Anolis sagrei: one gene and its partners. The protein of the gene in region 1 interacts with the protein of each later gene in a biochemical or structural test. Links are inferred from orthologs where the notes say so. Each region holds a gene or a part of one and is shown in the gene's direction. Other genes may lie near its edges.

The links.
Region 2: the proteins of UBE2D2 (region 1) and TTC3 form a complex in vitro, tested with the Homo sapiens proteins (2 studies listed by BioGRID). The link is inferred for Anolis sagrei from reciprocal best matches to the Homo sapiens genes UBE2D2 and TTC3.
Region 3: the proteins of UBE2D2 (region 1) and RNF4 form a complex in vitro, tested with the Homo sapiens proteins (8 studies listed by BioGRID, with this or other methods). The link is inferred for Anolis sagrei from reciprocal best matches to the Homo sapiens genes UBE2D2 and RNF4.

The regions. Positions count from the first base shown.
Region 1 is NC_090024.1:137,845,885-137,853,873, reverse strand, and holds the start of UBE2D2 (ubiquitin-conjugating enzyme E2 D2), read left to right. Parts: upstream 1-4,977; 5' UTR 4,978-5,175; coding exon 5,176-5,199; intron 5,200-7,989.
Region 2 is NC_090023.1:71,816,516-71,823,977, forward strand, and holds the start of TTC3 (E3 ubiquitin-protein ligase TTC3), read left to right. Parts: upstream 1-4,442; 5' UTR 4,443-4,521; intron 4,522-4,539; exon of another isoform or gene 4,540-4,675; intron 4,676-7,462. UniProt on the Homo sapiens protein: E3 ubiquitin-protein ligase which catalyzes the formation of 'Lys-48'-polyubiquitin chains. Mediates the ubiquitination and subsequent degradation of phosphorylated Akt (AKT1, AKT2 and AKT3) in the nucleus.
Region 3 is NC_090024.1:46,921,781-46,928,716, forward strand, and holds the start of RNF4 (E3 ubiquitin-protein ligase RNF4), read left to right. Parts: upstream 1-3,916; 5' UTR 3,917-4,255; intron 4,256-6,936. Other genes in the region: YTHDF3 (YTH domain-containing family protein 3), read right to left, coding at 3,354-3,377. UniProt on the Homo sapiens protein: E3 ubiquitin-protein ligase which binds polysumoylated chains covalently attached to proteins and mediates 'Lys-6'-, 'Lys-11'-, 'Lys-48'- and 'Lys-63'-linked polyubiquitination of those substrates and their subsequent targeting to the proteasome for degradation.

The DNA.
Region 1 (7,989 bases):
AGATGCAGATCAAGAATAGGGCTCCAGAGTCACCTACGGACCCACCACCAGGACACTGAACTTGGAGGACCATCATCCTTGGACTATGAGGGATCGCCTAAGTAAGTAAGTAACTAACCATATATTTTAAGTTATAAGGTGGGAATTGTGCAATCCTGTTTGTTGTTGATTACAACATTCTGCACTCCTACCCAGCTTAGCCAATAGCAGAATGCCTGGAGATACAGTCCAGCAACATCTGGAGAGCTGCACAATTCCCACCTGTTTGTAAGTCTATATTTTATAATTGATCACATTTTGTACATGAGTTTTGATTGATAAATATCTTAAATAAGCAACAATATAAATTAGTAAGACAGAGCCAGTGTGGTGTGTTGATCTGAGTGACTATGGCTCTTACATGAGGATTCAAATTCCAATTAAGCTATGGAAGCCCACTTGGTAATCTTGGCCAAATAGAGGAAAGCAAAGGCAAACCACCCTCTGAACAAATCTTGGCAAGAAAGCCCATGTTAAGATGACTTTGGGTAAACTTAAGTTAGAAACAACTTGAAGTATTACATGTTATGATGCTGAAACGTGCTTCAAAATGTCGGTAATTTTTGCTAAAAATGAAGAAATGTTATATAGGTGTTGTGCAACTTAACATTTAAACAAATAATAATTGGAATATTACAACTGCAATGTAATGTAGCTATTATTGTCAGTAGCTCCTACAGATAATTCTACATACAGGTATATTTAACAAAGTAAATGTGTTGCTGGGCTCTACTTTCACAAAAACCTTGGTATCAGAGGTTGAAACATAGAATCTGTTAGGGATAGGTTTGTATAACACACACAAAGAGCAACAGTTCAGCATGTTTCAGGAATGTTTTAATTCAAAATTGACATGCACATATGAAACGAAACAACCAGGTCAGGTAAAGCTAGAATATGTAAGCATAAACATTATGCGCCTTGAAAGTTTCTTCCAAAATGCATTCCAGGATAATTTTTTGTTTCATAGCTTACACTTTGCTTTTGGTTTCCATTTTGGTAGTGAACTTTTGAGAAATCCACACTTTTAAAAATATGCTTGGGTAGTTGGTGAGGTAGGCCAATCTGCTTCTCTAGTCCTACCTACACTGCCATATAATGCGTTGTCAGAATGCAGTTTAACTACATTGAACTGCATTATACGGCGATGCAGACTCATATAATCCAGTTCAATGCAGTTAAACTGCATTCTGGAATTGCCTTATATGACAGTGTGGGTGGGGCTTCTGTTTTGCTCCTCATACACACTCAGTGATTCTGGAGGAGTAAGTGCACATAACTGCGGGAGGATCACCTAGAGTGGAACACATTCTTTCCTAGGTCAAGCTTCAATATTTTTTACCCAACACTGACAAGGTTTTGTTTTCCAATCCTCCTTTATCGAAGTCTATACTACATCTCCTGCCCCTCAAATTAGAAGGAAGACTGCATAAAAGAGTTATTTTTCAGGGACTTGTTAACTTCGCGTGCCTGTGATGTAAAATTAAAAGTAGAGCTGAATTTATTTTAAAGAGAATAAGCATTTCAATGGCATTCAAACATAAACCGAACCAATATAATTATTACACAATTTGAAGATTTCTTAATATTTAACACAAAACCAGACCACCAATAGCATATGTAATTTATGCTATTTTTGTACCTCATTTGGCTGTTTTTTGTGCTTGTGTGTCATCTGAGCTAGTTTCATTATATCTATTAAAGTGAGCTGCAATCTATAAAAGTCTGCACCAGAATAAATTTGTTAGCATTTAAGGTGCCATGGAAGAATATATGTTGACCAGGTAACTAGAAAGCCTGCCTGTTTGACCTGTCTGGGATGACAGCAGGGACAGTATTATCTCCTGCATGGATTGCTATAGAAGCAACAAAACATCTACAATCCTGGCACCATATAGAATCCACCAAAATATTAAAACATAAATAAATATACATTGCAACCCCTCTGTGTTATCTACCTACTGACTGAGATATCAAATACACTGACCACTTAAGTATGTTTTAAACCAGTTCAGCAGAAACTGGTTTTTCTGTATGGATGGTAAGATTGCTATTTCTGGAACAGATTTCAGACCAGGATGGTGATTACATTAACCACAAAAGTGATCTGGAACTGGTTCCAAAATCCACAGTATCCATGGCTTGCACATTTACATTGTGGACGCAAGAGGTGGAAAAAAGAAGGGAAAGTGAGAACTAGCAGTAGAGATAATCAATTATCTATCCCAAGGGGTCAACTGACCACCTGTTCCCCAGTCATGCCCTCGGCATTTTCTCATCAGTCAGCCCCATTCTGAGTTTTACAATACACATCAGTGCATCGGATGTCCACAATGAACTTTGTATGCTATGGAGCTGATTTTGCCATGTTGTGTGATTTACTTTGGGACTGTCATGCATTCAGGGGCTTGTTTTGGACTTTCCCCAACTTATGTTAAAAACCCTTAAAGTGTGTGGTAGTGTTCTTCAGTGGTGTGTGTTATTTAGCCACTAAGAGAAGTCCAAAACAAGCTGCTGAATGCACAGCAGCAGTCAGTGTAAATAAGCACAATTATTACCCATTTTTACAGATTGTAAGTCATCCTGATACCTTAGGAATATAGAGTACATTTGGAATGGCATGTTTTGGAGGGAAAAAATCAAGTTGGATATATTAAAAGTTTCAGGTATCCAAATAGAAACTGACATGTGGATATACCACATCATTATACTTTTTTTAAAAAAAGTTTAAATTTGATTTTTACAAAAGAAAAAAGTGATGCACAGTGTAACCCAATAGCATCCACGAGTCCATTTCATTTGTTTTACATAGAAAGGAACATAGCTCTAAATACGACTAGAGTTACTGGGTCATCAAAAAACAAAAATGCAAGTCTCAAAATGGTTTTACCAAACAAAGGTATTGATTTCAGCTAATGTAGCTATGGATTTCTCTATATTTTTTCACATTAACATATACTGGCAAATAAAATGATACACATGTCCACTTCTAAGGAAGACTCAAATCCTCAAAAAAAAAAAAAAAAAAAAAAAGGGTTTTTGAGCCGAGCTGTTGAGCCTCTACATAAAAAGAAAAGCTTTCTAGTGCACAAATAAAGGACAGACTTTGGCCCCTTCCCCACAGTTGTATGGAAGGAAAGGAAGGAAATGGAAGAGGGGCTGACCAAGGGCAAGATGGATGGATAGTATCCTTGAAGTGACTGGCTTGAACTTGAAGGAACTGGAGTGGTGACGGCTGACAGGGAGCTCTGGCGTGGGCTGGTCCATAAGGTCATGAAGAGTCAGATGCAACTGAACAACACACAGTTGTATAAAATCCACATTGAAATGGATAATATGGTAGTGTGGACTCAGATCACACAGTTCAAAGCAGATACTGTGACTGTGGATTGTCTGCTTTGATATTCTGGATTATATGGCATTGTGGAAGGGCCCTTTATAATAATAAGGGGTTCATGGCAAACCTCGTCCTGACTATAGACCCACTGAGGCTCCTTCCACACATCTAAATAAAATCCCATATTATCTGCTTTGAATATATGGCAGGGTTATCTGAGGGCCCTTCCAGAAAGGCCCTATATCCCAGGAGCTGATCCCAGGTTTTCTGTTTATCCCAGTTTATCTGGCAGTGGGGACTTCTACAATCCAGGTTACAGCAGGAAAATATGGAATCAGATATGGGTTATAGGGCCTGTCCGGAAGGGCCCTCAGATAACCCAGTTCAAAGCAGATATTGTGGCTTACCTATCTTGAAATTATGTGGGCCCTTCCACACAGTCCAATATCCCAGAGTATCAAGGCAAAAATCCCACAATATCTGCTTTGGATTGGGATATATGGCAATATGGACTCAGGGCTCATCCACACAGCCCAATATCCTAGAGTATCAAGGCAAAAATCCCACAATATCTGCTTTGGACTGGGATATATGGCAATATGGACTCAGGGCTCATCCACACAGCCCTATATCCCAGAATATCAAGGCAAAACATCCCACAATATCTGCTTTGAACTGGGTTATCTGAGGGCCCTTCCACACAGCCCTATAGCCCAGATTAGCAAGGCAGAAAATCCTACAACATCTGCTTTGAACTGGGATATATGGCGGTATGGATTCAGGGTCCTTCCACACAGCCCTATAACCCAGAATATCAAGGCAAAAATTACACAATATCTGCTTTGAACTGGGATATATGGCAGTGTGGACTCGGGGCCCTTCACACAGCCCTATATCCCAAAATACCAACGCAAAAAATCCCACAATATCTGCTTTGAACTGGGATATATGGCAGTATGGACTCATGGCTCTTTCACACAGCCCTATATCCCAGAATATCAAGGCAAAAAATCCCACAATATCTCAGATAGTGTGGGATTTCCACCTTGATATTCTGGGATAAAGGGCTGTGTAGAAGGGCCCTGGTTTCCATTAAACCCCTTTGTTCCCAAGTGAAAAGTTTTTCCTGTCCTGTTCCTCCCTCTTCGAGTCTGACAGTTGTTGGGCCTTCATCCGCCATGTCTCTTCTCGCGAGAAGAGAGCGAACCCTCGCCTTGCGCGGCCCTCACCGATGAAGGGGACGCCTTCGTGCTCTGTCCTTTTCCGAGGGGTTCCCTGCCGCGGGCCACACTTGCTCGTTCAGCGCCTTCCTAAGCGTCCGCGTAAGGTCACGCAGCGCTTCCCCACTCAGTCCGCGAGCCTGCCGCGACGGCCGCGAGGCGCATGCGCCAACGCCGATGGCGGAGGAATCTCATTAACCTCGCGCCGCCGTCGCGTCATAAAAGAACTTCGCTGAAGGGTGATGCGGCTGGAGGAGCCGCAGCGCCGAGAACGTCAGTGAAGGGAGAGCCGGGGGAAATAGTAAGGAGGGAGAGAAGCAGGAGGAGGAGGAGGGGGCGGCGGAAGGGGACGACGGAGCGGCGTGCAGGGGCGGGGCGGGGGCGCCGACGAGGGACTTGAAAGGGGAGCGCCCAGGAGGCCCGCGCGCGCCCCCTCCCTCCCTTCCAGCCTGCCTCTTCCGCCGAGCAGCCCCCGCGCTCCCTCCGCCGCCGGAAAAGTAGTCCCGCTCCTTCCTCTTCGCCTCCTTCCTGCCTCCTCGCGCGCCGCCCTCCACAGGCTCCGCCGCCGCCGCCGCCGCGATGGCGCTGAAGAGAATCCACAAGGTAAGGAAGGCAGGCTGGGAAAGAGGGAGGGAGGCGCCGCTCCAGGGGATGCCCGGCCCTTCCCTCCCTCCCTCCCTCTCGTGGGGGTCTTAGCTGTGGAGGAGGAGGAGGGAGGAGGCCTCCTTGGTGGCCTTTCGCGCCGTGTCAGCTGGGCCTCCCCGCCCCGAAGCGAGGCCCCGCGCTTGGGCCCCAAACCCTCGGCAGGCGGCGCCTCTCCGGCCTAGGCCGCAAGGCGCCTCCTGCGGGGGCCCTTCCCGAGGCCTATTGTTCCAAGGCGGCCCTCGCCTTTCCCAGAAGGAGGCCCGTGCTTTTGGTTTCTCTTTCCTGCCCCTCTCCCCGCCCGGGAGGCCAGGGATGAAGGGCACGCCTTGAGCCTGGCGCTGGGCATCGCTTCAAGCAAAGGGAGGGCGCCTTGCCCGGAAGAGAGGCAGGTGTGCGGCCCCGTCTCCCGCCATCCAGGCCCCGTCTACATGGCACTGTGGACTCATATGTAGATAATGTGGATTCTGTGCTTTGTTCATCTGGATTATGTGTCAGTCTAGAAGGGGGCAGTTGTATAAAATTCAAATTGAACTAGATGGCAGTGTGGACTCAGGACCCTTCCACACAGCCATATAATCCAGAATATCAAGGCAGGAAATTCCACAATATCTACTTTGAACAATATGGCAGTGTGGACTCATATATAGATGATGTGAATTCTGTGCTTTGTTCATCTGGATTATGTGGCTAAGGCCTCTTCCACACAGTTGTATAAAATCCACATTGAACTGGATTATATTGCAGTGTGGACTCAGGACCATTCCACACAGCCATATAATCCAGAATATCAAGGCAGGAAATTCCACAATATCTGCTTTGAACTAGGATATATGGCACTGTGGACTCCTATATAGATGATGTGGATTCTGTGTTTTGTTCATCTGGATTATATGGCAGTGTAGAGGCCTTTTCCACACAGTTGTATAAAATCCACATTGAACTAGATGAGTGGTTCTCAACCTGTGGGTCCCCAGATGTTTTGGACTTCAACTCCCAGAAATCCTAACAGCTAGTAAACTGGCTGGGATTTCTGGGAGTTGGAAGCCAAAACACCTGGGGACCCACAGGTTGAGAACCACTGAACTAGATTATATGGCAGTGTGGACTCAAATAATCCAGTTCAAAGCAGATGTTTTGGGATTTTCTGCCTTGATATTCTGGGTTATATGACTCTGGAAGAGCCCTAGATTATGTGGCGGTGTAGAGAGGGCCTAAGGCCCTTTCCACACAGCTGTATAAAATCTACATTGAACTGGATTATATGGCAGTGTGGACTCAGGGCCCTTCCACACAGTCATATAACTCAGAATATCAAGGCAGATAATCCACAATATCTGCTTTGAACTGGTGGCCCTTCCACACACCCATATTAACCAGAACATCAAGGCAGAAAATCCCACAATATCTGCTTTGAATTGGAATATATGGCAGCGTGGACTCAGATAACCCAGTTCAAAGCAGATATTGTTGGTTTTTCTGTCTTGATACTCTGGTTTATATGGCAGTGTGGAAGGGCCCTGGGTTATCTGAGGGCCCTTCCAGACAGTTCCTATATCCCAGAATCTGATCCCAGGTTTTCTGTTTACCTCAGATTATCTGGCAATGCGGACTCAGGGCCCTTTCACACAGCCCTATATCCCAGAATATCAAGGCAGAAAATCCCATGTTTTCTGCTTTGAAGTGGGATATGTGGCAGTGTGGACTCAGATGACTCAGTTCAAAGCAGATATTGTGGGATTTTCTGCCTTGAGATTCTGGGATATAGGGCTGTGTGGAAGGGCCCTCAAAGAATTCAATTGAAAGCAGAAAATCTGGGATCAGATCTTGGGAAGCCCACAATATCTGCTTTGAACTATCTGCGAGGGCCCTGGGTCCATACTTCCAGATAATCCAGTTCAATGTGGATTTTATACAGCTGTGTGGAAGGGGCTTCAGATAACCCAGTTCAAAGCAGATTTTGTGGGTTATCTGCCTTGATAGTATATGTCAGTGGTTCTCAAACTGGGGTCCCCAGATGTTTTTGGACTTCAACTCCCAGAAATCCTAACAGCTGGTAAACAGGCTGGGATTTCTGGGAGTTGTAGGCCAAAAACATCTGGGGACCCCAGGTTGAGAACCACTGGTCTAGGTTATATGGCTGTGTGGAAGGGCCCACAATCTTTTCCTCTAGAATTTAGTGGAGGTAATCCTTCCATGAATTTAGGACCCTTCCACACAGCCATATAATCCAGAATATCAAGGCAGTAAAGCCCACAATATCTGCTTTGAACTGGGTTATCTTAGTCCACACTGCCATATATCCCTGGGCCCTTCCACGCAGCCCTCTATCCCAGAATATCAAGGCAGGACATCCCACATTATTATATAGGGCCTGAGTGTGGACTCAGATAAGCCAGTTAAAAGCAGAAAATGTGGGATTTTATTTAGCGGTGTGTGTGTGTGTGTGTGTGTGGGGGGGGGTCTTACATAAAACAAAAGGAACACACCTGCAGCCCAGGAGGGAAAGGTGTCAGGCATGCCTCTGCCTCCTTTGTGTGCCCGCCTGGTGCTTCCTCTGCCACCTCTGCCCTCAGTCATCTCCCCTGCTACTTCCTGCCTCGGGTGTGTCTCCGGCACATCTTTAATGACACCTTTGGATTTATGCTTTAAGCATCTTGCAGTTCTCTCAAGGGAACAACATCCAGGCTACTGCAGTTGGAAAGCAAGCCTTACATATCTTTCTTCTTGGCAAACAGACCCAATGTGGAG
Region 2 (7,462 bases), on another chromosome or scaffold:
TAAAACATTTAAAATGTGATATAAAAACAATACAGCAGCATTAATTCTAGTGTAGACCCAGCAAGGGCAAACTTCGGCCCTCCAGGTGTTTTGGACTCCAACTCCCACCATTCCTAACCGCTGTTGCTCAGGGGATGCCTGGATGATTTTGATGTTTTTAACATCCTTGTGAGAGGCTTCTCTCATGTCCCCGCATGAGGAGCTGGAGCTGATAGAGGGAGCTCATCCGCCTCTCCCCGGATTCGAACCTGTTACCTGTCGGTCTTCAGTCCTGCCGGCACAGGGGTTTAACCCACTGCACCATATGATTATATATATTTATATTATATCATATATTATTATATATATTATTTAATATACATTATATTATATTACATTATATATTACATATAAAATCATGTCCAATTGCATATATTGCATAAATGTCAATCCATATATTCGTTTTTGTCTAATTATGCTCCAGTAGTAAAAGCTTACTTGAAGAGCCAAGTCTTAACCTTTTTACAGAATGTTAGAAGGGAGGGAGCTGATCTTATATCCCTGGGAAGGGCGATCCATAGCCGAGGGGCCACCACTGAGAAGGCCCTGTCTCTCGTCCCTGCCAAATGTATCTGTGAGGAAGGCGGGATCGAGAGCAGGGCCTCCCCAATGATCTTAAGGTCCTAGGTGGTTCATAAGGAGAGATATGTTCATATAGGTATTAAATGCTGCAATGCCACACTTTGCCCTTATCACCTCCAGCATCCAAATGGTCACATTTTGTTCAGGCAAAGGCTGGCTCCTTCAATACCCCCACCAACAGACAGCATTCGTTTTCGACACTGCTTAGTAATAATAATAACAATAATCAATGCCGTTCGAGCCTACTTTAACTGCCCTGGATCAGTTCTATGAAATCCTGGGAGTTGTAGTCCAGTGAGATCTCAGAGAAGGCCAAAGACCTTGCAAAACTACACTATAGCATTGATCCTGTGCAGTTAAAATTGTGTCAAACAGCATTAATTCTAGTGTAGATCCGGCAAGGGCAAACTTGGGCCCTCCAGGTGTTTTGGACTCCAACTCCCACCATTCCTAAACGCCTCAGGCCCTTTCCTTTTTCCCCTCAGCCGCTTAAGCGTTTAGAAATGGTGGGGGTTGGAGTCCAAAACACCTGGAGGGCCCAAGTTTGCCCTTGCCTGGTACAGATGCACCCGTGTCCAGTTTGCAGCTCCTTTTCCACGTGGATCCACGTGGGATTTCTGTCTTCAGGCCCAACGTCAACCTCTAACCGGAAGTTTACCTTTCTGGGAGGCTACTTTGAGCCTCTTGCTCTGGAGAACGCGGAAGCTTTACATTTTGATGGACTTCCGCCTTTTCCCTTCTCCCTCTCCTCTCTTTATCTCTCCTTATGTTCCTCAGAACCCGTCTCAGGCTCCCTGAAGATTTGCTCAAAAGCCAAACCTTCCTGGGGATTGGCTTCCGAGCCGCTGGGCGTGAAATGGCCGTCTGAATGGATCCGGGGAGCCATTTTGGGAGGGCGCCTTAAAGCGACACGCACCCTTTTCTTCCTCAGGGCTACTCTGAGCGTTCAAAGGGGTTGGGAAACCACATTTCCCATAGGAAGGGATGCAAATGGGGAAAAACTGGAACTCCCCTGTTAGGGTTCTTCCACACAGCCCTGTAACCCAGAATATCAAGACAGAATAACCCACAATATTCTGAGTCCACACTGCCATATATCCCAGTTCAAAGCAAATAATGTAGGATTTTATTCAAATGTGTGGAAGGGGTCTTACACATGTTGCCTTTAGGTGAATACATTCATCTGTACCCACTATTTGGGTGAATAGTGTTTAGCATATTTAGCCCGAAGAAGAGAAGGCTGAGAGGAGATATGATAGCCATGTATAAATATGTGAGAGGAAGCCACAAGGAGGAGGGAGCAAGCTTGTTTTCTGCTTCCCTGGAGACTAGGACGCAGAACAATGGCTTCAAACTACAAGAGAGGAGATTCCATCTGAACATGAGGAAGAACTTCCTGACTGTGAGAGCCCTTCAGCAGTGGAACTCTTTGCCCCGGAGTGTGGTGGAGGCTCCTTCTTTGGAAGCTTTTAAACAGGCTGGGTGGCCATCTGTCAGGGGTGATTTGAATGCAATATTCCTGCTTCTTGGCAGGGGGTTGGACTGGATGGCCCATGAGGTCTCTTCCAACTCTTTGATTCTATGATTCTATGAATCAGGAATTTTTCCGTTGTTTTCTGTCAACAGCCCATTTGGAAAGGAAAAACGCACAAAATAAGAATGAAGAAATTGTGTTTTCTGATGTCTGGATTGCCTATTGTCCCATTTCTGGAGAATTCCTATTGTTCTCGGTGTTGTTGTTCATTCGTTCAGTCGTTTCTGACTCTTTGTGACCTCATGGACCAGCCCACGCTAGAGCTCCCTGTCGGCCGTCGCCACCCCCAGGTCCTTCAAGGATCCCATCCATCTTTTGTATTGTTGATTTTGTTATTCTATATTTTGTTATGATGTATTTTGTTACTGTGTGTTTATTATGTTGTATTATTTTGGGCTTAGCCTCATGTTAGCTGCACCAAGTCCCCTTTGGGGAGATGATAGTGGGTTATAAATAAAGTGTATCATCATCATCATCATCATCATCATCATATTTAATTACTTATTAATTGCCCTCCATCCGAGATGCTCTAGGCGATTTACAAGCTAAATTGTAAAAGATAAAAATACATACATACAAAAATTAATAATTAACATAGATCAAATGCTCTAGTGAAAAGCCAGGTCTTAAGTGCTAGAGTAAAAGGCCCTAAGTCACGCATTGTTATTATCTTGCCCTTGGTCAGCCCCTCTTCCTTTTTCCTTCCATTTCCCCCAGCATCATTGTCTTCTCTAAGCATTCCTGTCTTCTCATGATATGGGCAAAGTTCTTGGTAGGAATTGTGATATAGGATGCATCTAGATCAGGCACGGGCCAACTTTGGCCTTCCCTCCAGGTGTTTTGGACTTCCCCTCTCACAATTTCTAACAGCCAGTATGGGTGTTAATTAATTCTAGTGTAGACCTCACAACCTCTGAGGATGTGGGCAAAAGTGTAATCAAAGGCTATCGTGGCTGGAATCACTGGATTGCTGTGATTCTGGAACATGGCTGTATGACCATATTCCAGAAGCATTCTCTCCTGACATTTTGCCCACATCTATGGCAGGCATCCTCAGAGGTTGTGAGGTCTGTTGGAAATTCAGCAAGGGAGATTTATATATTTGTGGAATAATGTCCAATGTGGGAAAAAGAATTCTTGTCTGCTTGAGGCTGGTGTGAATGTTGCAATTGGCCACCTTGATTATCATGTAATGGCTTAGCAGCTTCAAGGCCTGGCTGCTTCCTGACTGCCTGGGGGGATCCTTTGTTGGGAGGAACATTGAAGAGCCTCCCAGCTACAAATCCTGTGGTCTAATGTCCAGGGTGGGAGAAAGAATTCTTGTCTGCTTGACTGTTGCAATTGGCCACCTTGATTATCATGTAATGGCCTTGCAGCTTCAAGGCCTGACTGCTTCCTGACTGCCTGGGGGATCCTTTGTTGGGAGGAACATTGAAGAGCCTCCCAGCTACAAATCCTGTGGTCTAATGTCCAGGGTGGGAGAAAGAATTCTTGTCTGCTTGACTGTTGCAATTGGCCACCTTGATTATCATGTAATGGCCTTGCAGCTTCAAGGCCTGACTGCTTCCTGACTGCCTGGGGGATCCTTTGTTGGGAGGAACATTGAAGAGCCTCCCAGCTACAAATCCTGTGGTCTAATGTCCAGGGTGGGAGAAAGAAAAGCGTGACTGTTGCAATTGGCCACCTGTATCATGTAATGGCCTTGCAGCTTCAAGGCCTGGCTGCTTCCTGACTGCCTGGGGAGGAGAATGGGAATTTGTTGGGAGAGAATACTTCTGGAACATGGACATACAGCCCGAAAAACTCACAGCAACCCATAAAGTTTTACTTACTCTAGTCCTATGTGTTTCCATACGTTTCAGCACACACGTCTCCGTTCATGAATGAATCATGTCTCAGGTTAAATAATATAATAATGCCTCGAAGCTTAGGTAAAGAATGCTCAGCTTCCAACGGTCCATCCCTTTCCTATCAGCCTCATCGGGGCAGAAAAGGATTGTGGGAATCGTAGTCCACAGCATCTGCAAAGGGTGCACGTATACTGTAAAATCAATGCACTTTAACAACTGTAAGCACGTTGTAGATATAACCAATGCGGTTTGACGCCACTTCGACCGCCAGGGCTCAATGCGGCGGGATCCTGGAACTGTTAGTTTGACGAGGCCAAGACCTCCAAACTACAAATCCCAAGGTTCCGTCGGGTCGAGTCGGCCCTGTCGCGGAAGTTTTAGAGTCGAAGGCGTGACGTCACCGCGACGGCTGGCCAATGAGGAGGCGAGGCGCGTCGGAGGCGGGCTGCACAGTGCTGAGAGGGCCCAGTCGGAGGAGGAGAAGCAAGGCAGCGGAACAATAGGGCTTCGTGGCGGGTGAGTGAGTGAGTCGGGGCGATATTGGGACCCCACAGGCCATAACGGTAGGCCTTCCCAACCCGCAGTGCGCGGAGAGGCCTCTGGTTCGTGTTCGTTCTTTCTGTGGCGGTTGTTTATCCTGTGAGGAGAGCAGCTCTGGGCATTTTGGGAGGCAAGTGTGACTGCTGCAATTGGCTACCCTGATTATAATTTAATGGCCTTGCAGCTTCAAGGCCTGGGTGCTTCCTGACTGCCTGAAGGGATCCTTGTTTGGAGGAGAATGGGGGAATCAGGAAACCCACCGAAGGCGCCACAATCTTTCTTAGACCTCATTTTACTTCAAGTATGGGCACCAATCGGCCCTCCAGGTGTTTTGGTCCTCAGTCAGAGGCATTTGATTGTACAGGATTGACATGGGCAAACTTTGGCCCTCCAGATGTTTGGGGCTTCAGCTTCTACCATTCCTAACAGCCTCAGGCCCTTTCCTTTAGGAAAGGGCCTGAGGCTGTTAGGAATGGTAGGAGCTGAAGCCCCAAACATCTGGAGGGCCAAAGTTTGCCCATGCCTGTGCCAGAGCATACGCAACGTCAATGGGACTTGCTTCCAATAATAATAAAATAAAATAAACTTTATTTATATACTTCCCTCGGGGACTCAGAGCGGTTTCCACATACGCAAAATAATACAAAAACATACAATATAAAACATAAACAGTTAACATTTATTTATTTATTTATTTATTTACTTTGCTTGTATACCGCTGTATCTCAAGCCTGAAGGCGACTCACAGCGGTTCACAAACAGTAAAAACAGTAGAAACAGCAGTGGTTCCATACAACATATAACAATTGACTTAACACATTATCCATAAATTACCGATAAGCAATTACAATGCACAATTATTACAAAAAACAACCGTACCCAATCTTCTCATCATCCAAGCGTAGTCCAGGTCCGCCGCCCATTGTTCCATTCCTATGTTCCATTACCAGATTGCACTAAATTACTCAAACGCCTGCACAAACATCCAGGTCTTCACCTTTTTGCGGAATACCATTAGAGATGGTGCCAGTCTAATGTCCGCAGGAAGGGCGTTCCACAGCCGAGGAGCCACCACCGAGAAGGCCCTCTCTCTCGTCCCCGCCAGCTGAGCTTGAGAAGCAGGCGGGATCGAGAGCAGGGTCTCCCCGGAAGATCTCAAAGTCCTGGTGGGTTCATAGGCAGAGATGCGGTCAGATAGGTAGCTTGGGCCTATCATGACATGGGCTTAACATGACATATATATCAAAATCAATTTAAAACCAAGTCCGCTCTCTTCTTCATGCAAGGTAAGCTGCCAGGAGCAAAGATTTCAATAAGGGGCCTGGACTATTTGGAACGGGTTGGGTCAAGGCTAGTGCAAGGAGAAGGGAAAAATGAGGCTGGCTGAATACTACAGTGCAAGGATTACTCCCAGTAATGGTCCTACTAGGGGACTGGGCCACTCAATTCCAGGGCAAATTAAAGGACTATGAAAAAGGTCTAGGCCGGAAGAAAAGGTGCCCTCAGATGACAGGGAACTAGGGAATGGATGGGGCACAAGGCCAAGTCCTAACTATTGGACCAAGGGCTTGAGACTAGTCATTATCGAAAGCCTGATGAAACCACCCAGTCTTCAAGTTTTTACGGAAAAAGGTGAGGGATGGGGCCAGCCTTATCTCCTTGGGGAGGGCATTCCAGAGGCAGAGACACCACCGAGAAGGCCCTCTCCCTCGTCCCCACCAACCAGGCTTGAGATAGTGTTGAGATTGAGAGGAGGATCTCCCCAGTGGATCTTGGTATCCACGCCAAGTAGTACGAAGTGTTGCCAGAGGGATATTACTGCCAATAACGACAACTGTTGCAGGAAGGAAGGATTGTATTGCAAATAATGACAGGAGACATCATACGGCACCACAGAAAACCAAATGCAGTTCCAGACTTCAGGTCGGAAGAGGTGAACTTCGCGGTGACCACATTTTTTTTCTTATCAGTGTCAGAGGCAAATTGAAAATACTGTAAGTCACTTCTAGTGTGAGAGAATTGGCCTTCTGAAAGGATGTTGCGCAGGGGACTCCCGGGCGTGTTACCATCCTGTGGGATGCTTCTGTCACGTCCCCGCTGGGGCTGACAGACAGGAGCTCACCCTGTCTCATGGATTCAAACTGCCAACCTTCACGTTAGCAATTTAGCCCGCACAAGGTTTTTTTTTGTGACAGGAGCGACTTGAGAAACTGCAAGATGCTTCTGGTATGAGAAAATTGGTAGTCTGCAAGGACATTGCCCAGGGGATGCCTGGATGTTTTGATGTTTTACTCTCCTTGTGAGAGGCGTCTCTCATGTTCCCACATGGGGAGCTGGAGCTGACAGAGGGAGCTCATCTGCACTCTCCCCATATTCGGACCTCCAACCTGCTGGTCTTCAGTCCTGCTGTCACAAGGGTTTAACCCATTGCGCCAACAGGGGCTCGTGCACAAGGGTTTAACCCAGTGGTTCTCAACCTGTGGGTCCCCAGATGTTTTGGCATTCAACTCCCAGTAATCCCAGTAAAGTGGCTGGGATTTCTAGGGGTTGTAGGCCAAAACACCTGGGGACTCACAGGTTGAGAACCACTGGAATCTATTACACCACCATGGCTCCCTGCGGCCACTGAATTTTCCTTCATTTGCATGGTGATAAATCAACAGTGTGGCTGCAACATCCTCCCTCATTTCTGCTTTAAAATGAGACATCTATTGTGCCTCCACAAATCTGATTCTTGCTCCTGGAAACCTTCTGTAAGAATGAGTCAGCCTTAAACTTGGGTGTGAGCTCCTTTCTCACTTTGCTGTGGCGGCATTGCTTGTTGCTGCTCTATCAGTTTTGCAGTCAGGATTCAAAAGCATGGTGCAAAATGTCGAGGGACTTCTTCAAGTGCCACAAAAACCAGCTTTGAGGGAGG
Region 3 (6,936 bases), about 91 Mb from region 1:
AGTAGAATAATAAGTAGCTAAAAGTCCAGTTCTGACTTAAAGACAGAGATCTCTTACTTTTTTACAAAAAAAAATTAACAAGGCAAGATTCTGCTGTGATCTCTTCCTTGATGCTTCTGGAAGAAGCAATGAACTGTTTTTTGACAGAAAAAGACACAAAAGGATTAATTCGAGGCATATGGAAGAAGTTGGGGACTGCAAAAATAGCCATAGAGATAATACACAACCACAGAGCTGCACTCTGCATGTTCTTTAAAAAAGAACCATAATCCTACAGTAAGTTACTCAATGTCCCTATTCCACTACTTAAGGAAGATGAAGCTTACCATCCATACCAAGACCTAAAACAAAGCTTTATAAACAAACATATGTGGATTTAATTTTTTAATTCATTTTAAGTTTGAGAGTTAAAAGTTTATTTTGCTGTTCACTCCACCCACAAAAGCTTTCCTAACATTACTCAATCCTGAGATTCTTTTTAAAAAAATTCCTCTCCTTGATCAATTCTGTTTTCTAAAGTGATGTTTCCAAATTTGACATGAACCAGAAGCCTTTATTAACTCTCTGTCAGAAAGGCAATGTGTACACAACAGAGGGAGGGAGCCATGAGGCTGAGGATTGGGAGAAAACCCATCCAGAGAGAGATATGAAGAAGGGCTGATTAGGAATGAAACATGCATTTTAAGCTTGTTTTGTATTATATTGTGTTTCTGTGAGTCTTTATTCGCTTAATTTTGCAATTGTACTGTATGGTTTTATGGTCTGTTATTCTTGTTGCAATAAGTTTGTGTATACACATATATTTTAGATCGTATGCCTCTGGCAGGATCCACTGTTTTTTCTTGGAATAATTGAATTGGAAGAAAGCCCAAAGGCCATCCAATCCAACCCCCTACCATGCAGGAATACACAATTAAAGCACTCCTGACAAGATGCCCATCCAGCCTCTATTCAAAAGCCTGTCCACCAAAAAGTTTTCCCTAATGGAATTACTTTTCCTGCCATTTGAATCTATGGCTCTGGAACAATAGAAAACAAGTTTCCCCCTTCTCACTATATCTTTCAAAACCAATAAACTTTCAGTTAAATGGTTGGTAGATGCCAGATAAAGTTGCTTGGGAATTACTATTAAAAACAGGCCTAACACTGTAAGCCAGGGCTGGGCAAACTTTGGCCCCTTAGGGGTTTTGGACTTCAACTCCCACAATCCAAATGCTTAAGCGGCTGAGGGGGGAAAGGAAGAGGCGTGAGGCTGTTAGGAATTGTGGGAGTTGAAGTCCAAAACCCCTGGAGGCCAAAGTTTGCCCAAGCCTGCTATAACCTATATTATACCGTAAACTCTTGTACTGACTTGATATTAATATTGAAATAAAGCAATTAAAAGTAATACATTTTACACTATTATAAAATAGCTCTTGTGAATGACATAAGCGATTTCAGTTAAGTTTTTGTGCTGGTTGCTTGAGATTTCCAATTAACTGAGAGTCTGCTTTACAAACCTCCCTTGCTGCACCAGGTCTACTGGCTGCCAATCTGCTACCGACCACAGTTCAAAGTGCTGGCTTCAGCTTATAAAGCCCTAAGGTACTGGCCCAGCTTACCTGTCCAAGCGTATATTTCTCTATGAAAGATTTTGGAGATTAAGATTATCTGGGAAGGCCCTGCTCTCAATCCCACCCCTTCATAGGCAGGACTGGTGGGGATGAGAGACAGGGCATTCTCAGTGGTGGCCCCTCGGTTGTGGAACACCCTCCCCATGAAAATTAGATCACCCCCTCCCTCTTGACCTTCAGGAAGAAAGTTAAGTCCTCGTTGTGGGACCAAGTGTTTTCACAATGATAGTGCAACAATTGATATCTTGGTGCAATAATAAGCTATTACAGGTGACAATTGGAATGGCTCCTGACTTATGTTCCCAGATTGTGCGATTTTAAATAATTGCTTCAATTGATGTGTTTTAATGATGCGATTTTAATGTATATGTTGTTTTATAATGATATGTGTAACACGGGTAAGGTTCTTAATTTATAGTATATGTTATTGTCTAGAAATTATGTTTTGGTTTTGCTACCATGTCTCCTCTCAACCTTCTTTTCTTCAAGCTAAATGTAAATTTGTTTGATTGCAAAGCACAATAAATAATAATAAAATGAAGACAATAGAGTGGACAAGGAAAACGAGTGAAGCCTGGATATATGTGCACGAAACGGGGGGAGAGGGAGATTGAAAAGGAGGGATGAAAATATGCCTCAGCAATGGGAAATATGGTGTAAAGGAGCATCATTCCAAGAATATATTTTCCAAGTTAATATTATAATGTAATACAATATATTACTAATAATATTATGATATTATAATAATATATTTTATATTAAATGTAATATTACTAATAATATTAGAGTATAATGTTATAGTACAATGTAATATATAATATTAATATTGTGCTATAGTAATAATATAATATATTGTATTTTTACTTGTAAGATGCTCTGAGTCCCCTTCGGGGTGAGACGGGTGGCATATAAATGTATGTGTATATGTGTGTATATATATATATATATATACACACACACACACACACACACACACACAAGCCATCCCCTACCACGTGTTTCTGTGGCCTAGTCTGTGTATATATTTGTGTATTTGTGTTTATATGTATGCATGTATATTGTGTATGTGTGCTTGTCTATATGAATATTTGGGTATATATGTGTGTGTATATTTGTGTGTGTTTGTGCATATATATATATACACAAATGTGTGCATGTAAATATGTATGAGTGTATGTGTATATGGTGGGTTTTTTTGGGGGGGGTTTAAGTCTGCTCCGCTGGGGTTGTGTGTGTGTGTATTTTTAGGGGTGATGGACACTCGTTGGACTGTTCGGTGTATTGTGTCCAAATTGGGTGTCAATTCGTCCAGTGGTTTTTGAGTTCTGTTAATCCCACAAACGAACATTACATTTTTATTTATATACATATTCCAAGAAATACACACACACACAACCAGGAAGGGGTCGCAGTGATGAGAAGACACCTCCGAGGAGGCGACGGGGAAGGCAAGCCCTCAGGGCCCAAAACCCCGCTCGCCGGGCCCGGATGGGGAGGGACGGCCGCGGAGGGCGCCAGGAAAGGGGAAGGCCTGCTCGAGAGGCCCGGAGCAGCCCAGCGGCCTTCCTCAGTGGCGAGCCCGAGGCTGAGCAGCGGCCTCCAGGCCTGCGAGGGGGCGGCGCTGGGAAACGGGGGAGGAGCCGCCGCTCGGCCGCGGATGTAGCGGCCGCGGATCCCCGCTATGCCCGGCGGAAGGAAGGAAAGGAGGGAGGGAGAAAGAAAGGAGGCCGGGCCGGCTACCTGGTCGACGCTGGTGGCTGACATTCTTCAAGGGGCGCGCAATCCCCCTCACCCCCTCCGCTCCGCTCGGGCCTGCTCGTGGGTCCCGCTTCCCTCCAAGCGCCGCTTCCTCCGCCACTCTCTCCTCCTCCTCCGCCGCCTGATTGTCTCCGCAGCTCGGCCCCCTCCTCCTTCTCCTCGGAAAGCAACCCGCTGGACGCTGCGAGCGCGGCGGCGGCGTCGGCTTCCCTCCCTTCTCCTCTCGGGGCTTCGCTTTCCCACAATGGCGGACGCGCTCCGGCTCCTACTTCCGCTCCGCAGCGCCCTGACCTTCCGCTCTCTCCCCCCTCTTCCTCCTCCTCCTCCCTCCCTCGCTGCTGCTGCTGACGACGACGTCGCAGGCGACCTTTCCGTCTCCGCCTCATGTCACGTGGGGAAGGGGAAGGAAGAGGAGAAGGAGGGAGGAGGAGAAGAACCAGAAAGGGGCGCATGCGCACGCCTCCTTGGCCTCCAAGAGCTTCCAAGAGCCCGTATGGTGTGTGTCTAGGAGGGTGAGGCGCTCGCGCGCGTCGACGCAGGCGCAGTGCTGCCTCCGACCGGTGGGGGTGGAGGCGGAAGTGACGTCAGCATTCTTTCCCTCAGCCGCACAGAGTCGGGCGAGAATCCTGAGGGAACGGAAAAGGCGTGAGAGTGCTTCGAAAAGGAAGGCGTTCGAGGCCGTTTTCCCAACCGTCTCAACCGCTCGGCTCGGAGTGAGCAAGGCGGCGCTTTCTCGGGACGCCGTAGTCGACGGCTGAGGAGAAAGAGAGCCCCTTGGCTTGCTTCCTTCCTTCCCTCCGTTGAACCATCGGCACTCGCGACAGGGAGGCCTCGGCGCCAGGCTCCTCGCCGCTTCTTCCCCGGGAGATTCCTCTCCCATTTCGGTGAGATTGTCTCCAAAGGCTTAACAATATGAGGGAGGGGTGTGAGGGGAAGGAAGGAAGGAAGGCAGGGCCTGTCTTCCAAGCAGGGAAATGGCGGCCGAGGGAGTGGGAGCCTGGCATGAGGAAGCCTTTAAGAAGGTCCTGGCCCGGGTAGAAAAAAAGCTGAAGACTTAGAACTGAGTCGGCAAAAGACGGGGGGAATTATCAGAGTTTTAAGAGGCATTTGTTTGGTTTTTTCCTTTTGTTGTTTCAAGCCTTCCGCGTTCAGGGTATTCGGCTTTTAGTGCTGAGTCATGGCATAGCTCGAACAAATGGAACAAAGTCCACCAAAGAGAGATGTACCTATCTGGGCCAACGCAAAATGCGGAGAAACGCTTCATGTCAGATTTCGAAGCTCCACTGGCTTCTGCGCCCTCTGAAGAATCATACATAGAAGTGAAGGAAAATGAGGGCATTAGAGACCTTTGAAGAATCATGCATACAAGAGAAGAAAAATGAGGGCATTGGAGACGCAGGCCTACGTTTTGCACCCAGTGTTGTTTTTGTGGGTCAGTTGTTCAGGGCGGTTTTCAATCCAGACATAAGCCACTCCCCCATTTTGGCCTTCTGAGTGCCAAGACAAAAAAAAACCCAGTCAAATGTACTGTATATACTCGAGTATAAGCCGAGGCACCTAATTTTATCACAAAAACTGGGAAGATGTATTGACTCGAGTATAAGCCGAGGGTGGGAAATGCATCCACTATGGGTCAATTTCAAAATAAAAATAGATACCAATAAAATTACATTAATTGAGGCATCAATAGGCTAAATGTTTTTGAATGTTTACATAAAACTGTAATTTAAGATAAGACTGCCCAACTCTTATTAAACCATTATGTTAACCTATAAGTAAATGTACTTATTATTAAAATAATAAATATAATAAAAAATAATACAGTGAAATAATGAAAATGTAATAAAAACAGTCATAGTAGAGTAAAATAATAAATGTAGCAATAACGGGGAAATGCTGTAAATATAATAATAATAATAATAAATAGATTAAAATAATAAATGTAATAATAGGGTAAAATACTGTAAATGTAATAATAATAATAATAGAGCAAAATAATGTAAATAGAATAATAGAGTAAAATAATAAATGTAATAAAATATTACTAATAACAGAGTAAAAGAATAACCTTGACTCAAGTATAAGCCGAGGGGAGCTTTTTCAGCCTAAAAAGAGTCTGAAAAACTAGGTTTATACTCGAGTATATACCGTAAATCGCTGCAGCAGCAGAGTCACTCCTATTGGAATCCAGGATGACTCAGCCTTTTGTGAAGCCACAGGCCCCTTTCTTAGGAATTTATTTATAGTATTGGAAGCAAACCGAGGGTACATTTGTAATGTATTTTTTAAAAACTTGGCATTATACTAAAATGTCCTTTGACCAGTAGCTGGCCACTTGGAGTGCTTCGGGTGTTGCTATAAGAAGGTCCTCCACTGTACATGTGACAGGACTCAGACTGCATTGTAAGAGGTGGTCTATGGTTTGCTCTTCTCCACACTCACATGTCGTAGATTCCACTGTGCAGCCCCATTTCATAAGGTTGGCTCTGCATCTCATGGTGCCAGGTGCAGTCTGTTCAGCCCAGTTTTCTGTGTGCCCAGGGAGGAGTCTCATTCAGTATCAGCCATGTCTTGGGGTTCCAGGTTTTAGCCTGCCAGTTTTGGACTCTCACTTGTGAGTATCTCTGTAAATCTTAGAAAACCCATTCTTGATTTAAGGCGTTGGCGTGCTGGCTGATATCCAAACACCAGAAGTTTTTTAAAGTAGGAGACACTGAATTTCTCCAGAGGTCTCTGTGCTGCTACAGTACAGGAGTTGGGTGCTGTGTAGGTGCTCTCTCCACCAGTGCCTATTCTACATGGACATTTGATGCAGGCTCATCCTGCCTTTGCTGTATAATTACCCAGGCCATTCAGGGCAATTTTACATCACCCTGCTACTCTCAGATACCAACCAGTTATAACCTATATTACTGCCAGGTTTTGTGCAGCAGCAATTCAAATCCGCCGGGCAATGACTGGTTCCAAAAGTTAACAATCTTAACTGTCAGCTAACTGAAATGTAAATCGGTTCTTCCCACTCCAGTACCCTAGACTTGTGCCCTAAATGCTCCTACCCTTCCACCAATCTCCCTCCTTCTCCATCCCCTTCTAGTCCCTTCCCGTAATAGTTTTTGTGCTTTAGCCTTCAACATACCTCTGTTTTTTAGCCTTTTAGATTTTAATGTACAATAATTTTATGAGACTGTACCTCACTCTCCTTATGCTGTTCTATGATTGTAATAAAGATTTATGATTAGGTAAAACTCAGACAATTACTTCACTGTATGGCCAGCACAGGTATCCCTGAATATGTTTGAAGTTGAAATGATTAATCCAACAGGTGATGACTGCTTGGTATGATTTCTTCAAGAGCCTCCTCTGTGTGTCTGTGTGTGTGTCAGGTGCAACTTGAGAAACTGCAAATCGCTTCTGCTGCAAGAGAATAGGATATCTGCAAGGACATTGTCCAGGGGACGTCATATGTTTTACCGTCCTGTGGGAGGACTCATATGTCCCCACATGAGAAGCTGGAGCTGACAAACGGGAGCTTACCTGCTCCCTGGATTTGAACTGCCGATGTTTT